Oryctolagus cuniculus: one gene and its partners. The protein of the gene in region 4 interacts with the protein of the main gene of each other region in a pairwise test. Links are inferred from orthologs where the notes say so. Each region holds a gene or a part of one and is shown on either strand. Other genes may lie near its edges. The genes, in order: ASB7, ABITRAM, BYSL, HMBOX1, WT1, AEBP2 and SH2D4A.

Region 1 (4,281 bases), on a different chromosome or scaffold from region 4:
ATGACGACAACAACAAGACTGGAGGTAGCCGGCAGCCCCCGTCACAACATCGCCTGCCCCGGGCCTCTCCCCAGGCGGGCGGATCTGTGCTGACCTGCAAGGGGTCATGAGCGTCTGTGGCCATTTGCGTGTGACTTGGTCACAATTAGGTAACGATTAAAATGGCAGCTCCTCAATGGCACTGGCCGCCTGACAGGTTCCAACTGCAAGAGGCTAGTGGCTGGCAGGGCAGTGATCATTCCCACCAACCCAGGAAGTTTTCTTGGCTACAACGGAGTTAGGGCTCAGTGATTTTTTTTTTTAAGTGCTTGAGTCTGAATATATTTATGATATTTCCTTCATCTTATCCCCCATGACAAATGCATAAAATCCAAATTGCATTTCATTACTTTGCTTCACACCAAAGTTCAGCTCCCAGGGGGAGAGAGGGTTACTCACAAGCAAGCCAAACAAATGCCTTGCCCCCCAGCGCCTGGCACCCAGAACGCCAATATTTCTTCTTCTACAAGGTTGCAGAAAGCTCAAAGTCGATGGCAGCAAAGGGGATTCATTAAAAACGCAGCAGAGTAAAATCAATTTGGTTACAGATTAGGCTTCGTGTTGGGTGCTAACCTCTGGGACAGGCACTCGACCGGTTGGCCACGGGGAAGCTTGCTGAGGTGGTGGCTGAGCCCACGGAAGCCAGACCCCCAGAAAACACCCTGCACACACAAGCTACCGCACGGGGCGGGCCAGCCTCTTCCAGGCTCTGAACCACAGTGCCACGCAGGCGGAGCTCGGATGTGACAGAAACTGCGCGGCCCAGGTCTCCCTGGAGCCCGGCGTCCCTCGGAGAGCGGGAGTCCCTCACCACAATCTCTGACCCCTGCACCTATGCTATGCGGGCACCCACGCAAGTAACACGGCTGTGTTCCACGTCACGTGGGTGCACAGGAAGCAAAAAAGCCAAGCACTCACCGTGAAAGCACAGCGTCCTGGAATCTCAAGTCCCAAACTGCCCCCACCTCTCCCAGGCTGGCACCCACTCTGCCCTCCTCTCCGTCTCCACCCTCTCCGTCCAGCCCCACTGACTCCACTGTGAGACAGGACCGTAGAAGGCAAGCTGTGGCTGCATGAGGCGTTACTCGCCAGGCAGGGACGCTGCGTGATTAACGTCTGGTCATTTTACGTCAGCAGTTACGTGAAGGCCCTGAGAAGACTCAAACTCAAACAACGCAATAATAGTAATAAGAACAACATTACGTACTTGTGACTTCTTGTAAGAAATCCAGACACGGCCGGCTACTTCCAGAGATGCTTACTGAGACAGCCAGTGGGGTCTGCCCCTCGTAGTTCCTTGTGTTCGTGTCCGCTCCGTAATTATACAACATCCGTGCACACAGCACATCGTCCCTGAGGGCGGACAAGTGCAGAGGGGTCTGGCCGTCCTCTAAGCGCCCCAAGTTTGTGTCTGCCCCTCTCTGGAGGAACATGCGGCAGTAGGAGTGATTGCTCTTGATCACGGCGTAGCGCAGCAGGAAGCCGTTCTGGATGTCGATGTTGGCATTGTGGTCCAGCAGGATCTTCACGCAGCTGGACCGCTCGCGGATAATGGCGAGCTGGAGCGGCGTCGTGCCTTTATCGCTGAGCGGGTCGACCTCGGCCTTGAACTCCAGTAGGAGCCGGACAAACGAGTCCCTCCCGTAGTGGGCAGCCACGTGGAGGGGAGTCCAGCCGTCGTTGCTTTTGGCATTAATGATGTCGCTCCTGTATTCAGACTCCAACATCAGGCGTGCAATCCGGGCCCGGCCATGCATGGCTGCATAATGAAGAGCGGTGAAGCCTCCGATTAAGTCCTTCACTGTGGGGTCGGCTGGAGTTGAAACCAAAGCGAGACGTTAGCGGACCTCGGCCGAGAGCACACCCTCCAGGGCGCAGCACGCTGGTGCCCCGGCTCACACACATGCGGAGACCCAACACCACCAGGAGGCAGCAAGTACGATTCTCCCCCCACCCCCGGCTTTACCAAGCGCTAATTTTCCCAGAAAATAAACCTGAGCAGAAAAGTGACCCAGCCTGGGCCAACGGAGGGAGACTTAGCAAGTATTTCAACAGGCAGACGAAGAACAGAGTCCAGCTCCCCACCACCACTTCCCCCTTCTTGGCTCGCTGAACCACAGCCTGGGGCACAGCCACCCTCCACCCCCTACCCTGTGTCTGTGTTGTTTCGTATGTCTCTCCTGTTCGGTTTTGGTTTTATTTTCTCCTGTGCTTCTTCTTGGTCTTAAAAGAGAAGTGTGTGTCGCAACACCCGCTGCTCCAAATGACGACGTACTGCGTCTGGCAGGCCGACTGTCTCAGGGCACGTTAGGTAAAAATACTAATTGTCAGCGGCTTTCCGTGGTCTGTGGAAAGCCCAAGGCATGTAAGGTTGTAGTGAAATGACCTGGATAACGCGTGTTCTCACCACAGAAAAGCCTAGTCTGGACTCTTGGTTTTTCATGAACTTTATCGTTCATCAGAATTGAGAAGGACAGTATGTGACAAACTCGGAGAAACCCCAGCACCGTACACATTTTTCTAAAAGTTTCCAAAAACCGGCACTCAACTGCTACTGGGGAGAAGCTGTTATCTGACCCTTGCAGCGCGTTCCTCCGTCACCTGCCTCAGCTCCTCCACCGAGCCACAGGCCAGTGCTCTGCGGCTTCCGTCCCACTGACTTCTCTGGGCAATGGCAGAACAAGAGAGTTTTGTGTCTTTTCCTTCAAAGCCATGATTCAATGGCTAAGACAAACTGTTCAGACCTAACTAAGATCAGAACGCTTTCTTCTTATACACTGCCCTTAATTGCTGGTCTGTTTACAGAAGAGAGAAAATAATGTTTTTCACATGTTAAATGACTCCAAAGTTATGGGTGTAAACATTCATGTATTATTTGATAAAATATCACTTAGTTCTGCAACAGAGAACAGCCGGATGCTCTCCCGGGAATCGATGGGGCAGAGAAACTGTAAAACAGGAATAATACCAAAACAGTGCACATTTCAGGTAAGAAGGAGCTGTTAATAAAACATACAAAAGCAAGTTACATTTGTGTAGGTTTCCAAAATCATTTAGTATAGAGAAAGGACACAGAGGTAGTTCTACTTTTATCTATTTAGAGAAAATGAGGCTGTCCTGTCGCCCTTGGTCTTAAAGGAAAGAAAATCAAACTGTAACTATTCCCCACAAAGCTTAAAAAAAAAAAAAAAAAAAAGCAAGAACATTTTGCCATGGCACTCTGCTGCCACCTACTGGTAAAGCATACATATGCGCTACTCCTGCCACTGATCACAGAGCTCTGGTCCCGGGGACCTGCTGCACCTGCCTCACTCACCAGGCTGGGGCTAGGTGTGGACCGGCAGGGTTTTTAGGGGATCACCTCTATCCTAACGAAACAATAAACTGTCCTAGTGTCGATTCCAATCTCTACCTGCCCAGCCACTGCTTCCACGTGCTCTCTCTTAACCTATACTCCAGCCTTTCACCCTCCAAGGGTGCCTTTAGGGTGCCAGGCACCACCCTGTCTGCAGCCTGCACTCCTGACAATAACATCAAAGTTCCGTTACAGCAGATCCCGCTTGCCCCTCTGCTCCCCACTCAGGACTTAAGAACTTCGCTGCCCCCTGAGCTGAGGACGCTCACAGCCTGACACGGCAGTGACCTGCTTCCTAAAGCCACTGCACTGAGAGCACCCGGGGACACAGCACAGAACGAGGAGCTGGGGGGTGCAGGGCAGCGCTAACAGAACGGGAGATGCAAGGCAGAACTGAAGGACTATTATCAGCCAATGCAATAAGACAAGAAAACGAGTTCACTTGGGAAAGCAACAGAAACCTCAAAACACCTGCGTATTAAGAAATGTGCCAGGCACCCATGGAGAAAACCTTGCTGAGGGAGCTAACTGAACTCCCCCAAAACACAACCCCGGCCACTTCGATAACTTCTTCCCTTCCCTTTAGCAAACGCTTCCCCCCAGGCAGGGCTTATTCTAAACAAGCGGCAGGTAATCTCAACAAACCCATTTAAATCAGTCTACCTACCAATCTATGCAAGGGGACTTTCCTGCCATCAGCTTTTCTTTTTCTAACAGCTTTACTGAGGTAGAATAAAATTCACTCCACTTGAGAGAGACTGGTGAGCCTGCTAACCCTACACAGTCATCACGTAACCACAGCCACTCCAAACACCCAGCACTTCAGCACCAGGAGGCTCCTTCCTGCCTACTCCCGTCAGTTCCCTGCCAGCACTCCAGCCCCGTGC
Region 2 (3,434 bases), on a different chromosome or scaffold from region 4:
GATGTTGTTAGCCGGCGCCGCAGCTCACTAGGCTAATCCTCCGCCTTGCGGCGCCGGCACCCTGGGTTCTAGTCCCGGTCAGGGCGCCGGATTCTGTCCCAGTTGCCCCTCTTCCAGGCCAGCTCTCTGCTGTGGCCCGGGAAGGCAGTGGAGGATGGCCCAAGTGCTTGGGCCCTGCACCCCATGGGAGACCAGGAGGGGCACCTGGCTCCTGCCTTCGGATCAGCGTGGTGCACCGGCCACAGCGCGCCAGCCGTGGCGGCCATTGGAGGGTGAACCAACGGCAAAGGAAGACCTTTCTCTCTGTCTCTCTCACTGTCCACTCTGCCTGTCAAAAAAAAAAAAAAAAAAAAATTAAAAGATGCTGTTACAGGCCGGCGCCACGGCTCACTAGGCTAATCCTCCACCTGCAGTGCCGGCACCCCGGATTCTAGTCCCGGATGGGGCACCAGTTCTGTCCCGGTTGCTCCTCTTCCGGTCCAGTTCTCTGCTGTGGCCCGGGAATGTAGTGGAGGATGGCTCAAGTGCTTGGGCCTTGCACCCGCATGGGAGACCAGGAGGAAGCACCTGGCTCCTGGCTTTGGATTGGCGCAGCGCGCCACCCATAACAGCCATTTGTGGGGTGGATCAATGGAAGGAAGACCTCTCTGTCTCTCTCTAACTCTGTCTGTCCAAAAAAAAAAAAAAAAAAAAAGATGCAGTTACATACTTCAGTAGGTGTGGGGAGGGGGTAATATTTGACTTCAACAGCGTAAGAGGATAGAAACTGTAAAAAACACAGCTGTTTAAATATATGTAGTCTAAGGAAAAAGTGACATGTTTTCTTAATGTCCTTTATTTGGAATTCATTGTAAATCAGTATCCAATTTTAAGCCATAAATTGAGTTAGTTTGTTTCTTTTTAAGGATGTAGAAGTCTTTGTTGTGTTCAAAGGCAGAAGCTTGTTAGTTACCCAGTCACCAGAGTGACCTTGGTTGACTACAATGTATCCACTATGAGAACCAACTTAAGTTGCCTTATTTTCCATTTGTTAAGGCAGAATTTGGTATTTTTCAAAGATGTGTTCCTCATTTAGTTAATAGGTGTGAGGAGGACAAAAGGTACACTCTACACTCCAGCCTCTTCCTGTAACTTACAAACAGGCGGGGGCCAGCTCTCTGCTGTGGCCAGGGAGTGCAGTGGAGGATGGCCCAAGTACTTGGGCCCTGCACCCCATGGGAGACCAGGATAAGTACCTGGCTCCTGCCATCGGATCAGCGCGGTGCGCTGGCTGCAGCGCGCCAGCCGCGGCCGCCATTGGAGGGTGAACCAATGGCAAAAGGAAGACCTTTCTCTCTGTCTCTCTCTCTCACTGTCCACTCTGCCTGCCAAAACAAAAACAAAAACAAACAAAAACAAAAAAAACAAAACAAAAAAACAAAAAAACAGGCAGGACAAGACTTTGTGTCACACTCAAGCAGGGTGAAGAAAGGTCATTTAGGTTTTTGAAAAAACTTCAAACTGATAGAAAATTGAAGTAAAAACAACAGCCATGCCATAATGTTCAAACAATAGAAGTATGTCAAAATACAGTATTTACTTCCATTTAATACGATGAGGATGAATAAATCAGTTACTTAAAATTTCTCCATGTTTGCCAAATTTTACCCAAAGAGGGGTGTGTGTGTGTGTGTGTGTGTGTGTGTGTGTGAGAGAGAGAGAGAGAGAGAGAGAGAGAGAGAGAGAGACGGAGAGGGAGGGAGAGAAAGAATGAATCAAAATGCATCCCCTGCTTGAGAGAGAGAGAGAGAGAGAGAGAGAGGGAGAGAAAGAATGAATCAAAATGCATCCCCTGCTTGCTTGTTTACTTGGAAGCAAGGGAACAGGGTGAGGGTGAAGACAAGTGGGAGCCAAAGCTTATCAGGCAAGACAGAGGGAAAACTAGGTTAAGTGAAGGCTTAGGGCTCTTCTGCTGATGGCTGGGGGAGAAATGTGCTTCACACATTATGCTGCGTCTCCTTGAGGGCACTGATGGTTTAGGCCAGGTAAGGCTAAGAATCCCATGTTGCTCTGGCTCCATTGCAGTCCTCATGATGTAGCTGTAGTAGCATCAGCGCGTTTCAGCACAACTTCTTCATACTGTTTTTGTGTCAGTAAGCCTTCTGTTATGCTTTTGCTTTCTTCAAATTTGGGTAACACAACTGCAATGTAACCTTCAGTAGATGGCTGGAAAGGAAATAGAATATTTAGTACTGGCAAATATATCAGGGGGGTGGGGTGGGGTGGGGTGCGTATTTGGCACAGCAGTTAAGCTGCTGTTTGGGGGGAGGGGCTGTGCTCAGGTCCCAGCTCTGCTCTCAATTCTAGCCCTCTGAGGAAGTGGGTAATGGCTCAGTGGGTGATGGCTCCCATCCATATGGGAGACCCAGACTGAATTCCAGCTCCTGGCTTCAGGCATCTGGAGAGTGAACTAGTGAATGGGAAATCTCTCTTTCTCTGCCTTTCAAATATACTAATGAATAAAAATTCAAAAACGGTTTAAAAATCCCTTAAAAGATACAGGGATGAGATCATATATTTTTCCTCTTTTACCTTTTCTTGAAGAATAGATGGCTCATGGAGAATGTTTTCATTCACTTCCATCAACCGTCCCCTCACACAGCTATTAAAAACAGAATTATTTGTATGAAAAATATTATCTGCTTTGTCTCTCCTAAATGATGGTGAAAAAGTTACTCACCTAGATATGGTATATTCTTCTCCATCTGAGCAGTAAATCTTACACAGAGGTGCGAATTCTGTTAGAAACTGCGCCCCCTGTGTGATGGAAGGGAAGAAGTGAGGAATTGATGGACATTTCTCCAGCTTCCCTAGAGAAGCAGCCCACAGTGCTGCCAGTATATCTGGGCCAGCATTGTGGTAGCTGGGATAAGCTGCCACTTGGGATGCTGGCATCACTAATATGCTCTTAAAATTGTCTGTGGTGTGAAACCCTCTTTCAATAAAATGTCATCTTGCCTGGACCTGTGGAGATACCATGTTTCATAACTGAGGACTGTGAGGAGGTAGAAGGTGGTGTGGGTAACTGTGTATTAGACTGGCAATGCAAATACTGTATGTTTTCTCAGGTTGACATATTTTCCTACTCTGTCCAGATTTTTTCCTTTTAATTTACATGTGAAAAATATGGTAAAGAAGACATGGTCACCTAAATTTTATAGAGCTCAAGACACTGGTTTAATAAACTAGAAGGGACAAAATACCTTGTTGATGTTAGAGGTGTCTGTTAAAAGGCCCGCATTCCCCCTCCTCCATCCTGGAGATAAGCGAGAGAGTGGCCCACAACCTAATATGACAGATGTAACTCCTGAAATATCCAATCTTTCTGGTCTGAGAATCTCTTTAGGGTTCAAGGATACATAAAACCAGCGAATCAAAGTGCCAGAGAAGCATGC
Region 3 (3,681 bases), on a different chromosome or scaffold from region 4:
ACCAGCAGATGGAAGATCTCTCTCTGCCTCTGCTTCTCCCTCCTTCTCTGTAACTGTGCCTTTCAAATAAAATATTTTTTTTTAAGATTATTTGAAAGGGCATCAAACAGAGAGAGAGATCTTCAATCCACTGGTTCACTTCAATAGGCACAACAGCCAAGGCTGGGCCAGGCCAAAACCAGGAGCCTGGAACTCCATCCAGGCCTCCCACATGGGTAGCAAGGGCCCATCTTCTGCTGCCTTCCCAGGTACATTGGCTGGGAGCTGGACTGGAAGTGGAGCAGACAGGACTGAAACTGGTATTCCAGTGTGGGATGCTGGTGTCACAATACCAGCCCTTGGCCTAAAGCTTTGATTGGCTTAAAACCTAGGAAGGGAATCTATCTGGTGCTGATCCCACCTCATCTGCAGACCCATCTCCCCTCTGTAGTTGTTCCATCCATGGCCCAGAAACCACTACTTTCTGAACAACCCCATGGCTGGCCTTCTACCCAACTAACTAAACAGTGTCATTCGTTCAAGGGGAAGGCAGAGCATGTGCCCCTGGGGGCTACTGGAGGCACGCAGCCTGGAGAAGCACTTGGGAGGTTAAGGTCGGCTGCTGTGTAAACTGAGTAAAGATCCCACTCCCGAGACAACAACAGGGAAGAGGAAATTCCCACCTCCAGCCACAGAGAAGGAGAAAGACCTTCATCAACTGCAGCAGAACGCAGGTTCAATAAATACCCGTCTTTGTTTTTCCCAGTGACTTGATAAAACAGGCGGAGAAGGTGTGCTTAAACCAAGCCCCAGCTGGGGAGTGGGAATGCTGGGCTGTGGATCACATCAGCTCACCAAGGGAGCAGGGACGAAGGCCTAGAAGAGAGGAGGGAGCCAAACAGACTCTCAGGCCACCCTGCCCGGCCTGGGAGCCACAGATGCCCTGTGACCTTGTCACTGCCCTGGTCTTCAGGCATAAAAAGCTCAGTGTCATCTTCAGTCACCCAGGGGACCTGGTGTCCTCCCATGCCCACTGGACCAGGACAGGTGACCGTCTTCCTCACTCCATGGTGATGGGGACATCTTCTACGTCACGAGGGACTGCACTCTGAAGCTCCCGCCTGATTTCGGGGGAGAGCTGTGGGTGGGGCTGCAGCCGGAGCAGTTCCATGAGGGCTTCTTTCTGTTCTGTGGCCAAATCTGCCTTGTAGCGCTGGACCAATGTCAGCAGGCACTGGTGCCAGAGCACGGGCAGCTCCCGCTTCTCTGTCCGGAACCCCAGGAAGTGGAAGACCAGGGCATCCAGCACGCGGTAGGGCAGTGCGTACTTCTTATCCAGCAGCAGTCGTAGGAAGATGCTGTTGGCACCACTGTATTCCATCTCGGCGATTTTCAGCATGGCCGCGCTGGGGAAGGGGTGGCGTGGTAGGGTTAATCCATGGGGAAACGCTGGAGGAGGGAGCCTGGTTCTCCCCTCTGCTGGCCCTTAACAATGGTGTTCCCAAGGGGGCCATCTCAGGCCTCCTCACCTACCCAACTTCATCCTTTTTTGACTGCAGTTACCACCTCTACCTCTGGCTTAGACACTTGTCCCAGGATCCAACTAGAATGTCCAAACATGCTGACATCTGCACCCCCACCTCACTTCCTCCCTGTGTGCCCTACTCATTCCACTATTTACTGGGCACCTGCCATATGCCAGGTGCTGGGATCCTCTTCTAGTGGAACTTACATTCTAGTGAAGCAATGACACACCCACTGCTTCAACCAGCCACAAATCCACAGCTGTTCTACTCTTTCCTGTCGCTACCCTCTCCCCAAGTCCTGGCCACCCCACTCTGTGCACTGCGCAGTCCTCCTCGAGCCCCACCAACACTACCTGGAGTGCAGCACAGGGATAGAGCACTTGGTGATGATGCTGCCCACGATGATGGCTTCCCGGAGAGTACAAGTGCCTGACTCGCACAGGGGGATCAGGATCCCTGGAGACAGGCAGAGGGTAGTCACTCCCAGCCCAGGGTGAGAGGAAGGTACACCAGGAAACCCCCGCACCAGCCCCAGGGGCCAGCACTAGAGACACCCACTTCCCGCAACAGGTCAGCTTTCACCTGCAGGCGCTCCAGCCCCTCGCTCCTTCCTTGCCTCTGGGTGCCCACCTTTGAACCAGGCTCCAGGCTTGAACAAGGCCTTCTTGAGCGCCATGTACAAATGGAAGTTGAGTCGTTTGTATTCAGCGATGTCATCTCGTATGCGGGGGAGCAGGACGAGGTTGTAGAAGCGCTGGGCCATGCGTTCTTTCAGGTTAGAAGCAAAAATCCTAGTGGGGTGAGGGGAAGTCCCCAAGTCACATGATAGGTCTGGACTTACCCCTTTAAATATCACTGGGTGGAGGCTGCTATTATGGCACAGTGGATTAAGCCACTGCCAGCAATATCTATATCTCATTTGAGGGCCAATTCAAGTCCCAGCTGCTCCCTTTCCGATCCAGCTCCCTGCTGTTGTGCCTGGGAAAACAATGGAAGATGGCTCAAGTGCTTGGGCCCCTTTCATCTATGTGGGGAAACCTGGATGAGTTCCAGGCTCCTTGCTCCAGCCTGGCCCAACCCTGATCATTGAGGCCATCCAGAGAGTGAGCCAACAGATACAACATCAAGCTCTCTCTCTAACTCTGCCTTTCCAATAAAAAGATATTTAAAAATAAACATCATTTGGGGGTCAGGTACTTGGCATAGCAGTTAAGATGCCACATGGGGGCTGGCATTGTGGTACAGGAGGCTAAGACTCTGCTTGGGGCTCCAGCATCCAACATGGACGCCGGGTCATATCCCAGCTGCTCCACTTCCGATCCAGCTCTCTGCTGTGGCCTGGGAAAGCAGTGGAGGATGGCCCAAGTGCTTGTACCCCTGCACCCATGTGGGAGACCTGGAAGAAGCTCCTGGCTCCAAACCAGCTCAGCTACAGTCATTGTAGCTATATGGGGAGTAGATGGAGGACCTCTCTGTAACTCTGTCTCTCAAAAAGAAGAAGAAAAAAAAAAGAAAAGAAAAAAGAAAAAAGCCACCTGGTTGCCTATATTCCACATGGGAGTATCTGGATTCCAGTCCTGGTTCTGCTCCTGGGAAGCAACAGGTGATAACGCATGTAGTTGAGTCCCTGTCACTCATGTACAAGACCCAGACTGAGTTCCTAGCTCTTGGCTTTAGCTTGCCCAGCCTCAGCTTTTGCAGGCATTTTGAGTGAACCAGTAGATGGGAGATCTGAGTCTGTTTCTTTCTGCCTTTCGGGGGGGGGGGGGGGGAGATATCTATATCTATCTCTTACTATGAATGGTGTAGGAAAGAGATTTTCTTTTTTACATTTTTTTTTTTTTTTTTTTTTTGACAGGCAGAGTGGACAGTGAGAGAGAGAGACAGAGAGAGAAAGGTCTTCCTTTGCCGTTGGTTCACCCTCCAATGGCCGCCGCTGCAGCCGGCGCACCGCGCTGATCCGATGGCAGGAGCCAGGATCCAGGTGCTTTTCCTGGTCTCCCATGGGGTGCAGGGCCCAAGCACCTGGGCCATCCTCCACTGCACTCCTGGCCATAGCAGAGAGCTGGCCTGGAAGAGGGGCAACCGGGACAGAATCCGGCGCCCCAACCGGGACTAGAACCCGGTGTGCCGGCGCCGCAAGGTGGAGGATTAGCCTATTGAGCCATGGCGCCGG
Region 4 (4,281 bases):
CATTTGGGAGCCAGTATCTCATATGGATGCCAGTTCAAGTCCTGGTTGCTCCGTTTCTGACTCAGCTCCCTGCTAACTGTGCCTAGGAAAGCAGCGGGGAATGGTCCAAGTCCAAGAAGAACCTCCTGGCTCCTGGCTTCAGATCAGGTCAGCTCAGCTCTGGCCGCTGTAGCTATTAGGGGAGTGAACCAGCAGATGGAAGATGTCTACCTTTCTGTAACTCTTTCAAACAAAGGAAAATAAACCTTTTTTTTTTTTTTTAAAGGGCTTATCAGCTAGCAAAGAGAAAGAGATGAAGTAGAGAAAATCTGAAATAAAAACATAAAATTTTGGGTCTGGCCTATGGCGGAGCAGGTAAAGCCGCTGCCTGCAGTGCCGGCATCCCAAATGGGCGCTGATTCAGGTCCCATCTGCTCCTCTTCCTATCCAGTTCTCTGCTATGGCCTGGGAAAGCAGTGGAGGATGGCCCAACTCCTTGGGCCCCTGTACCCATGTAAGAGACCTGAAAGAAGCTCCTGGCTCCTGGCTTCGAATTTTCTCAGCTCTGGCTGCTGCAGCCAATTGGGGAGTGAACCAGCAGATAGAAGACCTCTCTCCCTCCCTCCCTCTCTCCCACCCTCCATCTCTCTCTCTCTCTAGCTCTCCTTCTCTGACTTTCAAATAAATAAATAAATCTCTAAAATGAAAACACAAAATTTTGACCGGTGCCATGGCTCACTTGGTTAATCCTCTGCCTGTGGCACCGGCACCCTGGGTTCTAGTTCCGGTTGGGGCGCCGGGTACTAGTCCCAGTTGCTCCTCTTCCAGTCAAGCTCTCTGCTGTGGCCTGGGAGGGCAACGGAGGATGACCCAGGGCTTGGGTCCCTGCACCTGCATGGGAGACCGGGAGGAAGCACCCAGCTCCTGACTTTGGATCGGCGCAGCGCTGGCCGTAGCAGCCATTAGGGGAGTGAACCAACAGAAGGAACACCTTTCTCTCTGTCTCTCTCTCACTGTCTATAACTCTACCTATCAAAAAAAACCCACAAAATTTTAAGAAATATTTTTCATCTCAAAAGAAGGGCAGGAAAAAAAAATCAGAAGTCTTACAGCTAAGTAACTTAAATATAGCTTATTATTTAACAACAATTTAAGAACACAGACATTTTTAGGGGTCTCAACAAGCAAAGTAACTTACCTCATTAACTCCTCTACTTTATCATCTACATCTAAGTCCTCTTCTGAGGCTTCAAAACTGTATGACCTCTGACCCATGCTGTTTGCATGGTAGCGAGTTGGTGACATCTTTCCATTGGATGTGGACAATCGCTCATTATTTTCCCTCCCATTTTGATTGGTAGTACAAGGCTGAGGGGAGGTATCATAACTGTTGCTGGGTGAAGGGGACATTCCCGAATGCTGAGTCTGTGTGGAAGCTGTAGCTGTAGAAGAAGATGCCGGAACATTGTTGGTACTGTTCCCGTATGTACTTCCTCCATAGCTGGACCTTCTTCCAAACTTGTCACTATGCTCTTGATCAAGACGGTCTAAAGTTTCCAAAGCATGGAGAATTTCATGTTTAGTCATCCCAGTACGCCGAAGGCGCTGAAGCAGATCTATCTGCTCTATGGTAAATCTGGGTTCATCTGTATAGTGAGACATGGTTTCCAGCAAACTAAAAAAAAAAAAAAAAGAAAGAAAAATAAGTATCTTTATCGACAATATTTATCAAGGCATATGTCATTATGAAGAATGCAGTATTTCTACATTAACTTGTTTTCTTTTCTACATCTACTTCTTAATTAAAAGCAGCAAAACATGGGGCCAGAGTTGTATGTTATAGTGAAGCAGGTAAAGCTGCCACCTGTGACACCAGCAACCCATATGGACACCGGTTCATGTCCCAGCTGCTCTATTTCCAAACCAGCTCCCTGTTTATGCCCTGGGAAAAGCAGCAGAAGACGGCCCAACTGCTTGGGCTCCTGCCACCCACATGGGAGACCCAGAAGAAGCTCCTGACTCCTGTTCTGGCTGTAGTAGCCATCTGTGGAGTGAACCAACAGATGGAAGATCTCTCTCTGCCCCCCCACCAACCCTCTCTCTTTGACTTTCAAATAAATAAATCAATATTTTTAAAAAACAAGTTGTAAAGGGCCAGTGCTGGGATACAGTGGGCTGAGGCCCCAGTTTGCAGGGCTGGCATTCCATATGGGCGCCAGTATGACTCCTGGCTGCTCCATTTCCGATCCAACCCCCTGCTAGTGCACCTGGGAAAACAGCGGAGGATGGCCCAAGTCCTTGGGCCTGTGCACCCATATGGGAAAACTAGAAGAAGCTCCTGGCTTTGGATTGGCTCAGCTCTAGCCACTGTGGCAATTTGGGAAATGAAGCAGTGGATAAAAGACACCCCCCCCTCTCTCTTTCTCTAACTCTGTCTTTCAAATAAGTGAAATAAAGCTTTAAAAATAAAATAGTAAGATATGTCCCACATCAGAATGTTTTTGCCATGGCAAATGGATTGTTACAGGTATTGAGTTGATTAGCAGGTGAAAACTAAAAATAACAAAACTCATTTTTTTCTTTTTTTTTTTTTTTATATTTCTTTATTTTACTTGAAAGTCAGAGTTACACAGAGAGAGAAGAAAGGCAGAGAGAGAGAGGTCTTCCATCTGCTGGTTCACTCCCCGATTGGCCTCAATGGCCGGAGCTGCACTGATCTGAAGCCAGGAGTCTTGTCCGGGTCTCCCACGCAGGTGCAGGGGCCCAGGTACTTGGGCCATCTTCTTCCGCTTCCCCAGGACATAGCAGAGAGCTGGATAGGAAGTGGAGTAGCCAGGACTCAAACCAGCACCCATATGGGATGCTGGCACTGTAGGCAGTGGCATCACCCGCTAGGCCAAAGTGCTGGCCCCAAAACTCAATTTCATATGGCATACAATATACATTTTCCTCAATTCTGGTAAGCATTCTGAAAAAATTTTAGTTACGACAATAATACCAAACAATAGATGTAGATTAAGTACATATAGATCATTAAGCCCAGGCTATGTGATAACTAACAGGTCTTTGTTTTTTCCATTTTCAATATGTTATTTTTCATTAGAGTATTAATGAAAAGTTGCTGACCAAATATCTGCAAAGTAAAACTGAGAACTCTATGTATAACTTCACTTAGTGAAAACAAATGATTTGCTAAGCAAATACTTATAAGCAGTAAAATTATTTAAGTGGAAAATAAAAGAGGTTTATAAAAAAACTTATTAAGTACGATTCATCCACTACTTAGCAATTTCATCAGTTTTTCATTTCTGTAATGCATTCTCTCTTAATCCTGAAAAATGGATCTTCTACGGTAGCAGCCAAACCAAGCCATTTATTTTTCTTAAGAAATTGCTTCTATGTTTTCTCTACTTAAGACAAGATATTGCAGCACACCAGAAAATATTTTCTTAGAGTGAGTAACAAACATATTAAGAGTTGTCAAATATAAAAATTCTCACTAGTTGAATTTTCTATGAAATCTGATTTTTTTTTATATTAAAGATATTTGAAAGTGGTAATCTCTTCTATTTTAATTTTTATTGTTCTAGCACCAAACAGGATGGATGGCATGCAGTAGCCTGTTAATAAGTTTGCTGATGGAGCACATGTCAAGGAATTTTCTATTCCTTTACAGGTAACTGTCAATTTGGGGCCAGTTCCTATAAGCTATTGCAGACCTCATTGTCCACTGTCTCTTTAGCCCTCTTCAGGGGGTGGGAAATGTCTGGCCCACAGGTTGTATAAGGCTTGGGAAATCATTTGTTCTGGCCCTGCCAAGGAAACGGCAGGAGAAACTCAAAGTTCAGTAATTTCTGTAATTACTATAATTACAGTAAATCTATAGCAGGCTAATTTTTAGGTTCATGATTTTATATGGCCCATGAATGATACTGTAAATATCCAATTGACCCCTTGGCAGAAAAAAAAGATTCCTTATGCTTATATACTGTACTAAAAATTTACTGAACCTTCACTTCTAGGGAAGAACTTGATAAAGAGTTTCTTAAAATGTAATCTCATCTAATTCTAATAGCAACCCTCTGTGGTAGCTATTATTTATTTTATTTCATTTCATATTGATAGGTAGATGAACTGCTAAAGAAATATAGGCTCAGGGGCCGGCACTGTGGCTCAATAGGCTAATCCTCCGCCTTGCGGCGCCGGCACCCTGGGTTCTAGTCCCGGTTGGGGCGCCGGATTCTGTCCCAGTTGCCCCTCTTCCAGGCCAGCTCTCTGCTGTGGCCCGAGAGGGCAGTGGAG
Region 5 (4,281 bases), on a different chromosome or scaffold from region 4:
TGCTGCTCGCCTGCCGAAAGAGCAAGGGTAACAGTCAGCGCGACTCCCCCGAAGGCTCAGAAAAGAAAGCCTGGGGAGATGGGGACGCGGAGGCCAGGGTGCGGGGCATGCAAGAGCGGGGCTGTCGTTCCCAAAGAGCTGGGCGCGTCACAGTCCCTGCGGGGCGCACAGGGACTGCAATTCCCTTGGGAATTGGCTGCAATGCGCTTTCTACTCCATGGGATGAGAGACTCGATGCGATGGGAGGAGACTCAATTTGTTTTTTTCTTTAAGATATTAGAGTGGAAATGTGCTAATTATTTCGAAGGTTCCTTTAGATGTCCTCTGCTCCCTTCCCCAGTTGGCTGGGGGTTGGACATTTCTGAGTGGGAAGGGGACTTGCACGGAAGAAGACCCGCGTGGTTCCCGCCCGCTTACCCAGCGAGCCCTGCTGGCCCATGGGGTCCTCGTGCTTGAAGGAGTGATTGGGGAACTGCGCCGCGTGGTGCGAGGGCGTGTGGCCGTAGCTGGGCGTCCCGTCGAAGGTGACCGTGCTGTATCCTGCGGGAGCGGCAAAGAGACACACAACACAGTGTCAGCGGGGCTCTCCGGAGACAGAGCCCCTGGATGTGAGCCAGACTCTGGGCGTGGGGTGGTGCTGACCCCCACGCATTCAGATCCCCAGCGGAGGCTGATCCCACCCCACGCGTCCCCCGGGACTTTCTCGGCGGGCAGCCAGACCCAAGCCTCAGGACATGGCGTGGGGACGGGCTCCCCATCCTCTGCCCACTAAAACCCTGGTCTCCCCCGCCTTTTCCCAATTTATGTACACCTCGGTCTTGCACAGCGGCGTCTGCCGCTTCTGCCCCGAACCTCCCGCAAGTTAAGTGTAAAACCCGTCGCCCGCCCCGCCGGAGAAAGTAATTCTCCCCCCAAAACAAACACCGCGGCTCTCGCGCAGGGCCAGCGCGGGCGAGCGAAATGAATCTGTTCCGCTGACCCCGCGCTGACTCCGAGCTGTAAATCAGGGGCCTGCGCACCAACTTTCATTAATTACTCCGAGCCAGCGAAACGGCCTGCGCTTTCCATAGAGAGAGTAATTACCGAGTAACGTTATCTGTCTGGGGCTGCACCACCCGACACCCTCGGCTAAGCGGTGAGGGGGAGAGGAGGGGGCACTCCCCTGCGCCCCCTCCCCCACCGCCTCCGACCACCTGGGGCTCCCAGGGACCGGCGCTGACCACTGCTTCGGTGGTCAGCTACCTTGCTCCACGGAACAGAAAACGGATTTCTTTTTGGAAGTGTTTGATACCGTGTCTCCTTTTCCCTCCACGGCAGCATTAGGGGCCCTCTGCCTCAGTTTCCCTGCCGAGAAATCCAGGGCAACATCTTCCCCGAGAGTGAGATAAGAAATAAGGTGGCTCGGTTGGAATACGTCGCTTATGATTATCGTTATTAAATCGCTTTAAACATTTCCCCCGCCAGGTTATATTGGAAGCTGTGGCCGCCTCTGCGGACAACGCATCCTCTGGCTAAAGATAAGCTCTGAACCCAAAAGGTGCTGGTTCCTGAGATCCACGCGGAGTGGCAAACGGAAGAGCAGCCGGATGCGGACATCCGCTCCCGCAGGGCCACCACCAGTTCCTTCGAGGGTCTCCAAACCCCACGGAATTCTCGGGCGTGAAGTGCGGGAAATGGAACCCAGGCCCCCTACTCTTGCCCGGGTAGGATCAAGGGTTAGCAACAAGTGTCCCCGAAGTCCGGCAAGACGGCGCAACGAAGCCGTTACCACCGCCGCAAGAACAGAAGACGCGCGTCCACCTGCAACTCGGGGAAAAAGGGAAGCTCAACCCGACTGTGCAGTGTCAAGGGGCGGGAGCTGGGGGGCGGGAGCAGCCGGTAATTGCTCGCTCCGTACCAGTCGGGCGCTAAGTCTCACGCACCTTCTGCGTGACCCCACGGGGCCTCCACTTCTGGCCTGCCAAGTAGTCCGAGATAGCCTCCGTCCCGTTAGCTCCTAGTCGTGGGTGAGCACGCTGGGGCCCCCAGGGGCTTCCTTCTGGGGTCGGAGGCTTAGCCCTGTGTAAGGCCTAACAATCAGTTTACAAACGAAATTTGGCTGCGGGCAACCAACATTGGCCAGTGGGTTAGTCGAATTTCTAAAATACCATTTAAAAAAGAAAAAAAAGGGGAGAAGAAATAGAAGTGACCCAAAAAAATCCTAGACAAACCCTTCTCCATTTCTGAGCCGATGAGCAGGCAGTGACCAGGGGCACCGCACGGTTCCGGGAGACTGGCGCCGCAATCGTCAGCACGAAGCGAGCGCTGTGGTTTCCGTGGCGGCTCCCGCGCTGGCTGCGTTGGCTCCGCGCCCCAAAACTCTGGCCCAGGGATGTCTGTGCCTACCCGCCCCCTCCCGGACAGGACACGCAGGCCTCTGTAGGTAGGAGCTGTCCTCGAACCCCTCCCTTGGGTCTCCCGAGACAGGTGGTGATGAAAGCGCCTGCTGAACGGGTAAGGGCTCTTTTAATTAGAAGCTTATCAGACGCCGGACTGATTAGAGAACGCCATCCCTGGGTCCCGCGCTAGGCCTGTAGCGGAGGGGGCGGAGGCGGAGGACCTGGAGGCGAGGCGGGGGGATGTGGGGGTGGGTTGGCAGCTGCGGGCGGGAAGGAGCCCTGTGTTCAAAGGCTCCTTGCACAGGCCTTGGAACACGAAGCCCTAGCGGCCAAGGTAGCGCCTTTCCCACGGTTTCTCCGGGTCCGGGAGGGGAGCACAACCTTGACCGCGCAGAGAGGCAAGACAAGCTCTGAGCCTTCCTCCCCCGCCCGCGGCTGCGGAGGAGCCCGGGAATCCCGGGGAAGCGAGGGATGGGATGGGCAGCAGGCTCTGCCCGGAAGGTGCTGAGAAGTCTGAAAACCACGACTTTGCAGCTGCAGTGGAATCTGAGAAAATCTGTCCGCCAAGGAAATCCCTTGTCCCAAGTGAGGGGAGGGTGTTGGGAGAGGGCTGCTTTTGGCCCTCAGAGGACACTGGTCTCTCCACCTGACCCAAAGGTGGCCTGTGATCCCGAGGCCTGGTCTGCTAGGGCTCTGCAGGCCAAAGGGCTTAGGGGATCAGCAAAAGTCTGGCAAGCAAGCTCTCACCCCTTCCTGAAAAGCCAGCATTCAGTCTGGGGATACCTCAGGCCTCACCCTACTTATGCCCTAGCAAACCTCAGCCAGGCAGAGGAAACCCTTTTCCACAGTGGGGCCAAGATCCCTGGAGGAGGAGGTAGACCCAGCCTGGAGTGCTCTGAGTCAGAGCCCAGCTCTGCCACAAACGGAGACCTCTTGCAACCCTCATCTCTTGGAGCCTCCATTCCCTCATCCAAAAACAAAGGTCTCCTTAAGTGTCAGGCTGTGAGCTTCTCACAAAGGTTTTAGAGACCATTAATTGTCTTACCATTCAGTCCCCAGTGCCTGGCACTGAGTAGGCATTTGATGTCTGCTAAATTAATATTTACAGTGGGATGCCAGTTGTATTTCAGAAGCAGAGGGTGAGGAGAATGAACAGGCTTGTGAAGCTTTGTGGGGAAGGGGGAGATGTGTGAGTGGGCATCAGCGATTGTCCCTGTCTTGGGCCATGCCTGGACTGCCCTGCCCGAGGATAGGTATCCAAAGACAGCCTCCATTTCTGGCCCCTGGCGTTTGGCCTTGGCAAGTTATGACCATTCTCTGGAACAGCCCTTGAGTCCCCTAGCCCCAAGCATTGGGCCAAGTCCTGCTTTCTAAGGGAGCTGCAAGAACCCAGGGAAATCAAAAGAATACATGTGGACTCTGGAGGCACTAAGGGCCTTCCCTTTTTGGCCATTCAGATAGGCTCACATCTCACTGCAGCTCTCAGCTGCCAAGGGACCCCCAAGGGCTGGGCCTGCTCAACCCATTTCTGTTTTGTTTGGGAGAGAAAAATCTAAGCTGGCAGACTTGGGGCCATCTCCCCATCTGGCTTTCCCCCTGGGAAGGATAGGCAGATGCAGTTACCTGTTCATTCTGGTCTCCCACTCCTACTCTTGAAGCCTGTCCACTGGAAGGGCCTTATAACTGTCCCCAGGAGTGCAGTGTCCACTGGTTGAGAACCTCACCTCTGCCCCTACATGTAGGTGGAATTGATGGAATCTAAGCACCTGCCCACCAGGAGACTGGACACTGGGGCCCCAACCAAAGCCAGAGAACCCAGGTTTCAAGATTCGCAGGGCAGAACTGAGACTCAAAACGGAGATAAAGGTGCGGCAGTCTTTGGTTCCCCCGGGGTCTTGGATAG
Region 6 (4,281 bases), on a different chromosome or scaffold from region 4:
GCGCTATCTGTGCAGAACTACCTCCATTGAGCCCACTTAGCAGAGGTGAACTTCTGTTTCACAGCCCGCGTGGGGTTTTCAGAACTTTGCATAAAGTGTCTTTTAATAGACTATGCTTGGATTGCAAATTTCTTTACACCAAAGTAAATTTACATTTTAATTGCATTTCACAAGGAACTCTTTAGAGTATCCTTTGACTGTCATTTCCTAGCTATGGAATCTCCCTCAGAAAACCCAATGCTTTTCTAAAAAATCTCCCAAATGTAATAAATTTTAGACAAACAGAAGACTTTTCAGCGACCCAAATACAGAATATGTTTGAAGCAGTTTTAACAGAAACATATAAATATGGCAAGCTTCATATCAAATTTTTAAGGTTTTTTAAAATGTAGGTTTTCCATAACCAAAGCATACAAGTATTGAAGAAAGTCAGGGTAGGTAGGCAGTGGCCAGTCTCTGAGATCAAAACATTCAAATAAAAAAACCAAATACTCTGTACTTTCTCCAAAGAGTGTTATTTTAAACTATTATGTATAACAAATATAATCAAGGTTTTTTTATTTAGAGACAGGTTCCACCCAATAAAAGTATTTTTAGTGAAATTAACCAAAATGATTATAACTTAATATATGAACTATGTGTAACAGTGATACACTCTTTACACTGAGACTCTTTAGACAAACTGAAGCCAAGTTCCCTTTATACAGAACATTATAACCTTTTTCATGTTTTCTTGCTACAATTCTTCAAAATAACTTATTGTAAAAAATCTGCATGGGAATTCCTGGCAAAACCCATTGAAAGCAAGTCCGTTCTGATTTTCAGATAAGCAGAACCACATGCAACATGACTCGGGAATTAATAAAGCTTGGTAATTTTTTCAAATTTTGAAGATAAAAAATTTGAATATAGTATTTCATGACTACATTTTTAAGGCATCTTGGTATTCATAATAACTAGAGATGAAAAAATACTCTAACCTTTAATTAAATATGAAAACTTGGCACTTATTAAAAACTGCAGTGTTAAAACTGCAAAATGTCCTAACAAGTCAAAAGATTCCTTAAGAATTAAAAAGGGGCCGGCGCTGTGGCGCAGCTGGTAAAAAAGTCAACGCTTGCAGTGCCGTTGTCCCATATGGGCGCCAGTTCAAATCTTCGCAGCTCCAATTCCGATCCAGCTCTCTGCTATGGCCTGGGAAATCAGTGGAAGATGGCCCAGGTCCCTGGGCCCCTGCACCCGTGTGGGAGACCAGAAGCAGCCCCTGACAAGGAAGAAGCTCCCTGCCTCCTGATGTGCGCAGCTCCAACCCTTGCGACCAATTAGGGAGTGAACCAGCCGATAGAAGAACTCTCTCTCTCTGCTTCTCCTCTGTGTAACTCTGATTTTCAAGCAAATAATAAATCTTAAAAAAAAAAAAGGTTTTCAATCAGAATCCCCAAAATTTACTTCTCTGAAAAAATCTGTTTTGAATGACATATCAATTCCCTTTTCACAAATATATACATATATATATATATATATATCTTTGTAGTCTTAACTTCACACATTGTTACACAACTGTCAGTTTTCTATATTAAGAATGTACATAAACTATGATTTCTGTGTGCCTTTTTGGAAAACTGATGCAAAGGTAGTAAAGATATTTTTAAAGCTATACTAAACAGAAAATATACCCATCTAGTATTTTAAATCACTAATATTTTCCCATTTTTATGTTTCATTTAAAAATAAGAAATTAGACATCTCTTAAAAGAATTCAAAGAGCAAACAAAAGATGTTTCAAACAATTGTGGCAAAATCTATGTTCTTAAGAGGATTCTACATACTTAAAACATTTTGTTAATGTGTAAAAGGGAAAAAACACTTTACATTCAAAGGATTGCAAACATGATTATCAATGCTTTTAATGAATGAAACAGGATTTTAAAACATGCATTGACAGTTAATCACTGTCAATTGTAATTTCATCTAAAATCTGGAAGTAATGTGTTCTACTTTAGGGAAAATTCATATATGAAAATGTTTATTAGAAAAATAAACAACTTTAAATTTTACAATATTTTCCACTTCAATATTCTTTTAGATAAAGCAGATGCGTCTTATGGTTCAAACATATCTGATTTTCATATTTAGTCCTACTTTGTAAAACAAAATACGAAAATACAAATGGTGAAAGAGTAGACTATTAACACCTATTAAGAAATCCAATGTAAAATGTTTTCCAAAAAGATCATTTGTTGTAGATACTTTAAAAAGCAGTATTTACTAAAAGTCTATCCGTTTTCACTGAAATTTACTGTACTGTCATGTCACCAAGATAAGTACCACTGCATCAAAATCCAAGGTGTGTGGTCTAAGTCCATTTTTTCAAAAAAATTTTACTAGTTAGACCAAGCACCAGTGAACTTTTCCTTAAGACCAGAGAGTAACTATTTTAGGGTTGTGGACCTTAAGGGCTTGCTATTCACTTCTGGCTTTGCAGGGAGAAGGCTGTCACAGATAACACATGGAAGAACACTTATTCAGGAAGGCTGCAGTTTAACTAGCAACTGACTACACGAGGACTTGGAAAAGGGATAGATTACTACAGGCATCACATTTGGGAGTAGAAGGAACAATAAAAATGGGTAGAGATTTAATACATGATTACACGAGTTAAGATTTTCACTTATTTCCCAATCATAATTGGAATACGTGTATATATGTATACATATATAAAACAACCTCATTTTAAGTATTCATTCTTTTTGGTATGACAGTAATACTATTAAAGTAAAGTCAGATAAGCAGAAAACCATCATGAATGATAACATAATCAGCAGGTCATCAATAACCAGGAAATTTGGTTTTGACACCTAAGTATTTCTACACAATGGAAAAAAACTAATTTATTCTCTGTGTCCCTAAAGAATATTAGCTGTATATTTTCAGATGTAATTTTAAAATTTAATTGAATTGTTACAATTTGAAGCTAAATGCAATTTGTTTGTTTTATTAGAAAAAATACTCAAGCAAGGTCTACAATCATCGGTCAATTAAAAATGACTTACAAGAACATGAGGCAATAAAATAAAAATACAGGTACAAACTATATATCTGAAACACTTCTATTTGGCAATGTTATAACAAATCAAAACTTAAAAAGAACAAAGGAGATCGCAGATTACTTCGCAGATACAGAATAAAGCAACTGATGAAGTGCTTAAGCAAAAGAAAACAAAAAAGTAAGAAAACACACTGCTTTTCTTTTCAAAAATAAATCACATTTGCTACAGATGGTATGGATAATACCCTTATTAAACAACCATTCCAGAATGTCTTATAGCAGTGCTTTTTATTTGCACTTCATTTACTTTTATATGACTCATTTCACATATATAGCTCTTTACCCTCCCATAATTTTTATTTATTTTTTATTTTTTAAAGCAAATGAGAAATGACTTAAGTATCATGGAACCTTTCCCATTTTGGAACCAAAGGCTTACTTCTATATTTTTGTCTACTCTTTTAAAAAATTTAGTGTAAAAACTGCTGGTTTTTATATCATTGTAGTAAAGTGAAAGCTCCTTAATCAGGAGTATTTTCTGCAGTTTGACTGCATATAACCACAAACTTTACAATATGTCCTTCCAACAGCAAGGAAATAATGGATTTCACGGTCACTGTCAGAAATGAGTGCCATAATTCTATTATGGGTGTAGGTCCTCCCTCAAAGACGTTCTGGAAGGATGTTCAATGTGTTTTGTTCTTATAGATATTAACAGTAGTACATAGTCCCTTAAGTCTGCAAAAGACATTTATTGTTAAAGAAGGTGCTTTATTAACAATTCCTCTGGCAGCACTAGTGAATTACAATATCCTTCAATATTATTTCTACCATAATATATACATTTAACTTTCATGCCTCTAGAAAAACATCTACAGTACATTTCATAATATAAAAATATATTACAAATCTGCTGAATTATTTACAAGCAATGTTCTATTATCTCTATGCAACATTTGTCTCATACAATACTAACAAGTTACACATATTTCCATTTCTGTAAGTAAAAAACAAAAATCCATATGGCTTCTTGCTTAGCAAGCAAGAAAATGATTTTATTTCCTTTTCAAAACCAACTTTGGTGCATAAAAGATTCAGTTTGAAGATACTTTAAAAAAAATACAATTTTTCTTATATTGATAAAAACAACTCAAAAACCAAACTGCTCTCCTCAGGAAAAAAATTAGTCATATAGGTTAAATGAAAATACAAAGACTATTCAAATAATTTGA
Region 7 (4,281 bases), on a different chromosome or scaffold from region 4:
GCGAGCCGAGAGCACAGCACGGCCGCCCTCCTCTCCACGCCTCTGACGCTGCTGTCACTGCTCCTCCCAATGCCTCCAAAGCAGAAACAGAAGGGAGGTGCTGCCACCTGCTCCCTGGGAGCGGACACTGACCAAGGCCTCGATCACCGAGGGACGCTGTCTCCAAGGGGACGCTGGAACATTCCGACAGCGAAAGCAGCCCTCGAGGAGAAAGCCTGCCACGGAAAATTCCGTTCTCGGAAGACGTGAGCTCGTGTCAGGAGCCTGTTTCTCACGTGTGCTGTGGTTTGTGCCTGAGTCTGTGTATACGTTTGGACGCTGACTGTCGCCCTACACCCGCCATGTAACACAGAGGTCCCTGTGTTACAGGTCTGGCCCTGGAAGTCTCTGTTAACACTATTAAGAGGGAGGGAGCTTGACATAATTATGGTGCTCAGACATGGTGTCTCTGGGAGTGACTGGCGTGGATGAGGCTGTTGGGGTGACCAGAGTGTGGTGGCTTTTTAAGAAGAGATAGAGGGTGCTGGCGCTGTGGTACAGCAGGTGAAGCTGGCACCTGGGACGCCAGCATCCATATCGGAACCTGTTCATGTCCCGGCTGCTCCACTTCCCAGCCAGCTCCCTGCTAATGTTGCTGAGAAAAACAACAGAGGATGGCCCAAGTGCTTGGGCCCCTGCCGCCACGTAGGAGACCCAGAAGAAGCTCCTGGATCCTGGCTTCAGCCTGGCCCAGGCCTGGCTCTTGTGGCCATTTGGGGAGTGAACCAGCAGATGGAAGATCTCTCTCTCTGTCTCTCCCTCTTTTTCTGTAACTCTGCTTTTCAAATAAATAAAAGAAGAAGGAGGAGGAGGAGAAGAAACAGAGACACCTGCTTGTCCCCTGCTGTCAGATGCTGTGGACTCTTCAGAAAGACCACCGCCGCCAGCAGCCGGGCCCAGGGGGCTCACCGACATTGCACAGGAAAGCTCCAGAATCAAGAGCCCAAACAACCCTGTGTTGTGACGTTACCGTCTCAGATGTTCCGCTGCAGTGACGAACGGCTAATCAAATGTATGAGGTGATACGGCCTAAAGAAGAGATGCCTCAGCCAGCATTTAAACCAAGATGCTCCAGTGCAAGCAGGCTCCTGGAGAGAACTCTGTCACTGTCATGGTCATCTCTGTGTCGTGCACACGGCCAGGTCAGCAGGCTGACCACAGGGCTCAGGGAAGCCACAGAGACAAGGAAGCAGGGACCCTTCCTGACACCCCAGCAGTGGTGGTGAGCGAGACCCGAGCCTGCAGACGGGGGGCTTCGGGGCTGCACGCTCCGTGAGTCAATTACAGACACGGTTTATTAGCCGACACCTGCCCAGCATGCAGTACCACCCGCTGGGGTCTTCACCACACGCCAGAAGATTGGACCACAAAGCCCACCTCTTCCTCAGAACACAGGAAGGCAGTGAGGCTCAGCCGCACGGGTCTGCTACAGCAAAGGAGATGACGAGCTCAGGGTCACCGGCTGCTTGCAGGAGAGGAGGTGGGGTCCACTGCCCGACCCCTGGCCTGACCCCTGGCCTGACCCAGGGCCTGTCCACCACAGCCAGCTGCCTCCCGGGCAGGCCACAGGAAGCAGAGCGCTTCCCACTGGCCCTGGGGCGTTCTGCTGGTGGAGCCAAATTAACCGGCAGTGCACGCACGCCCGCACGCTCGCTCCCAGGCACCGGGCATGCCGGCTGCTTCCTAAACAGCCACAAGAATGCGACGCCCTCAGCAGCCTTTGAAGAACTCCCTTGTGGGGATGCTTTCAAAGACTCCCCCGGCAGCACCAGTGAAAGGGGGCTTTGATTCCCCCTCCTTCCCGGGGGCCTCGGAACTCACCGTGGAACCAGGGGGCGATGGCATCCGAGGTTTTCTGGAGCCCCGCTCGGAAGGGCAGCTGCTCCTCTTTAAACCACCGGATGATGTCCTCCTGGGCGGAGCTGGAGGCCGTCCTGGTCACTCCCTGAGTCCTGGCATCGTTGAGAAGGTTTGTGAGAGAGAGTGAGCTCACTGGAAAACCAGCCACACACCCACACCCACACCCACACACAAGGTGACTTCCAAAAATCCACAGAAAAATGGGATTTAAACGTAGCTTTCTTTTGCTGCACATAAGATGAAATCCACAGTTTTTTTCACAGCACATGCATTTTTCATGAGCTTTTTGCAGACCCTCTTGCAAATACAGACTTCAAAAACTGCACCAAAATAAACATTATCTTTTAATTCCTCTTTCAATGAACTTTCTGAAGAAACTGTGTGTGTGTGTTTGTGTGTGTGCACATGTGCCCGAGGGACAGAGAATTACATATATTTCGTTGTTTTTTTTTTTGTTTTTTTTTTTGACAGGCAGAGTGGACAGTGAGAGAGAGAGAGACAGAGAGAAAAGTCTTCCTTTGCCTTTGGTTCACCCTCCAATGGCCACCGCGGCCGGCGCGCTGCGGCCGGCGCACTGCGCTGATCTGATGGCAGGAGCCAGGTACTTATCCTGGTCTCCCATGGGGTGCAGGGCCCAAGCACTTGGGCCATCCTCCACTGCACTCCCTGGCCACAGCAGAGAGCTGGCCTGGAAGAGGGGCCACCGGGACTAGAACCCTGTGTGCCGGTGCCGCTAGGTGGAGGATTAGCCTAGTGAGCCGTGGCGCCGGCCACATGTATTTCAATATCAAATTCCACGGTCTGAGCTATGGGCAGTCACACCCCCTGCACCCCACCACTATACAAATAACTCCTCAAGAGCAGAAAGCTGGGCACTGGTTTGAGTCCCGGCTGCTCTACTTCTGATCCAGCTCTCTGCTATGGTCTGGGAAAGCAGCAGAAGATGGCCCAAGTGCTTGGGCCCCTGCACCCATGTGCAGAAAGGGACGCAAATCTGTCTCTTGTCCTTCCACCCAAGGGGCTGGTGGCGGCTATGGGGTACTGCTATGCTAACAATGAGGTCTGACTTTATTTCTAATGTAAATTAGAAGCACCACTGACTCGCAGTTACAATGTGAGAAAACACGCATTAGCAGGTAAAACACACCCCAGCACTATTTTCCTAGAGAACATACACTTGCAAACACAGTAAGTGGGGAAAGATAAATTCTTTCCTAACCTGTTCACAAATGGCCTCTCCTTTCTCTGCCCCCTCTAACCTCGCTGCCTTGCCTTCTCCCCCACACTGTGAAGAGGGTTTGTTCTGCTACAAGATGGCCTCAGAGACTGAAGACTGGGACAGCAGAGAAGATCACTCTGAGATAAATTCAGTAGCAGAATTTCAGTTCTGGGATGTTGAGGGGATTTCCTCTACAAAAAGAAGCGCTGTGATGTCAGAAACCCATTCCCCAGGCCTCCTCCTGGCTCACTAACTCTAAGCAGAACTCAAAGGTGACAAAGAGGGGCCGGTGCTGTGGCGCAGTAGGTTAATCCTCCACCTGCGACGCCGGCATCCCCTATGGGCGCTGGTTCTAGTCCCAGCTGCTCCTCTTCTGATCCAGCTCTCTGCTATGGCCTGGGAAGGCAGTAGAAGATGGCCCAAGTCCTTGGACCCCTGCACCCGCATGGGAGACCCTGAAAGAAGCTCCTGGCTACAGATTGGCCCAGCTCCAGCCATTGTTGCCATTTAGGAAGTGAACCAACAGACGGAAGACTTCTATGTCTCTCCCTCTCACTGTCTGTAACTTTCAAATAAATAAATAAAATCTTAAAAAAAAAAAAAAAGTGATGGCTGGTGCCGCGGCTCACTAGGCTAATCCTCCGCCTTGCGGCGCCGGCACACCAGGTTCTAGTCCTGGTCAGGGCGCCGGATTCTGTCCCGGTTGCCCCTCTTCCAGTCCAGCTCTCTGCTGTGCCCTGGGAAGGCAGTGGAGGATGGCCCAAGTGCTTGTGCCCTGCACCCCATGGGAGACCAGGAGAAGCACCTGGCTCCTGCCTTCGGATCAGCACGGTGCGCCGGCTGCGGTGCGCCGGCTGCAGCGGCCATTGGAGGGTGAACCAATGGCAAAAAAGGAAGACTTTTCTCTCTGTCTCTCTCTCTCACTGTCCACTCTGCCTGTCAAAAAATAAAAATAAATAAATTAATTAAAAAGTGACAAAGAATCTGGATGGGCCTCTTAGGCATTTTATAGGAGCGAAGGAGAGGCTGCTGTCGGTCATGTGTGACATACATGTCACATGCACAGACACGGGACATGTACATCTGTGTGTCTATGGCAATGGCCCTCATTGCTTTCAGAGCAGTCTGGAGGCAGCGGCCTATGGCATTTAACTTTCCTGGGA

The links.
Region 1: the proteins of HMBOX1 (region 4) and ASB7 interact in binary tests that used the Homo sapiens proteins (3 or more experiments, as listed by UniProt). The two-hybrid records come from large-scale screens. The link is inferred for Oryctolagus cuniculus from reciprocal best matches to the Homo sapiens genes HMBOX1 and ASB7.
Region 2: the proteins of HMBOX1 (region 4) and ABITRAM interact in binary tests that used the Homo sapiens proteins (3 or more experiments, as listed by UniProt). The two-hybrid records come from large-scale screens. The link is inferred for Oryctolagus cuniculus from reciprocal best matches to the Homo sapiens genes HMBOX1 and ABITRAM.
Region 3: the proteins of HMBOX1 (region 4) and BYSL interact in binary tests that used the Homo sapiens proteins (3 or more experiments, as listed by UniProt). The two-hybrid records come from large-scale screens. The link is inferred for Oryctolagus cuniculus from reciprocal best matches to the Homo sapiens genes HMBOX1 and BYSL.
Region 5: the proteins of HMBOX1 (region 4) and WT1 interact in binary tests that used the Homo sapiens proteins (3 or more experiments, as listed by UniProt). The link is inferred for Oryctolagus cuniculus from reciprocal best matches to the Homo sapiens genes HMBOX1 and WT1.
Region 6: the proteins of HMBOX1 (region 4) and AEBP2 interact in binary tests that used the Homo sapiens proteins (3 or more experiments, as listed by UniProt). The two-hybrid records come from large-scale screens. The link is inferred for Oryctolagus cuniculus from reciprocal best matches to the Homo sapiens genes HMBOX1 and AEBP2.
Region 7: the proteins of HMBOX1 (region 4) and SH2D4A interact in binary tests that used the Homo sapiens proteins (3 or more experiments, as listed by UniProt). The two-hybrid records come from large-scale screens. The link is inferred for Oryctolagus cuniculus from reciprocal best matches to the Homo sapiens genes HMBOX1 and SH2D4A.

The regions. Positions count from the first base shown.
Region 1 is NC_091443.1:9,960,218-9,964,498, reverse strand, and holds part of ASB7 (ankyrin repeat and SOCS box protein 7), read right to left. Parts: intron 1,853-4,281; coding exon 1,247-1,852; intron 1-1,246. UniProt on the Homo sapiens protein: Probable substrate-recognition component of a SCF-like ECS (Elongin-Cullin-SOCS-box protein) E3 ubiquitin-protein ligase complex which mediates the ubiquitination and subsequent proteasomal degradation of target proteins.
Region 2 is NC_091432.1:212,644,738-212,648,171, reverse strand, and holds the end of ABITRAM (protein Abitram), read right to left. Parts: intron 2,797-3,434; coding exon 2,720-2,796; intron 2,642-2,719; coding exon 2,572-2,641; intron 2,206-2,571; coding exon 2,068-2,205; 3' UTR 820-2,067; downstream 1-819. UniProt on the Homo sapiens protein: Actin-binding protein that regulates actin polymerization, filopodia dynamics and increases the branching of proximal dendrites of developing neurons.
Region 3 is NC_091436.1:127,973,801-127,977,481, forward strand, and holds the end of BYSL (bystin), read right to left. Parts: intron 2,297-3,681; coding exon 2,136-2,296; intron 1,962-2,135; coding exon 1,859-1,961; intron 1,386-1,858; coding exon 1,040-1,385; 3' UTR 715-1,039; downstream 1-714. UniProt on the Homo sapiens protein: Required for processing of 20S pre-rRNA precursor and biogenesis of 40S ribosomal subunits. May be required for trophinin-dependent regulation of cell adhesion during implantation of human embryos.
Region 4 is NC_091433.1:45,104,359-45,108,639, forward strand, and holds part of HMBOX1 (homeobox-containing protein 1), read right to left. Parts: intron 1,655-4,281; coding exon 1,178-1,654; intron 1-1,177. UniProt on the Homo sapiens protein: Binds directly to 5'-TTAGGG-3' repeats in telomeric DNA. Associates with the telomerase complex at sites of active telomere processing and positively regulates telomere elongation.
Region 5 is NC_091432.1:33,515,632-33,519,912, reverse strand, and holds part of WT1 (Wilms tumor protein), read right to left. Parts: exon of another isoform or gene 2,221-4,281; coding exon of another isoform or gene 2,211-2,220; intron 2,154-2,210; exon of another isoform or gene 1,923-2,153; intron 541-1,922; coding exon 418-540; intron 11-417; coding exon 1-10. UniProt on the Homo sapiens protein: Transcription factor that plays an important role in cellular development and cell survival. Recognizes and binds to the DNA sequence 5'-GCG(T/G)GGGCG-3'. Regulates the expression of numerous target genes, including EPO.
Region 6 is NC_091440.1:117,171,134-117,175,414, reverse strand, and holds part of AEBP2 (zinc finger protein AEBP2), read right to left. Parts: exon of another isoform or gene 2,976-4,281; intron 1,406-2,975; coding exon 1,150-1,405; 3' UTR 1-1,149. UniProt on the Homo sapiens protein: Acts as an accessory subunit for the core Polycomb repressive complex 2 (PRC2), which mediates histone H3K27 (H3K27me3) trimethylation on chromatin leading to transcriptional repression of the affected target gene.
Region 7 is NC_091439.1:3,448,413-3,452,693, forward strand, and holds part of SH2D4A (SH2 domain-containing protein 4A), read right to left. Parts: intron 1,992-4,281; coding exon 1,861-1,991; intron 1-1,860. UniProt on the Homo sapiens protein: Inhibits estrogen-induced cell proliferation by competing with PLCG for binding to ESR1, blocking the effect of estrogen on PLCG and repressing estrogen-induced proliferation. May play a role in T-cell development and function.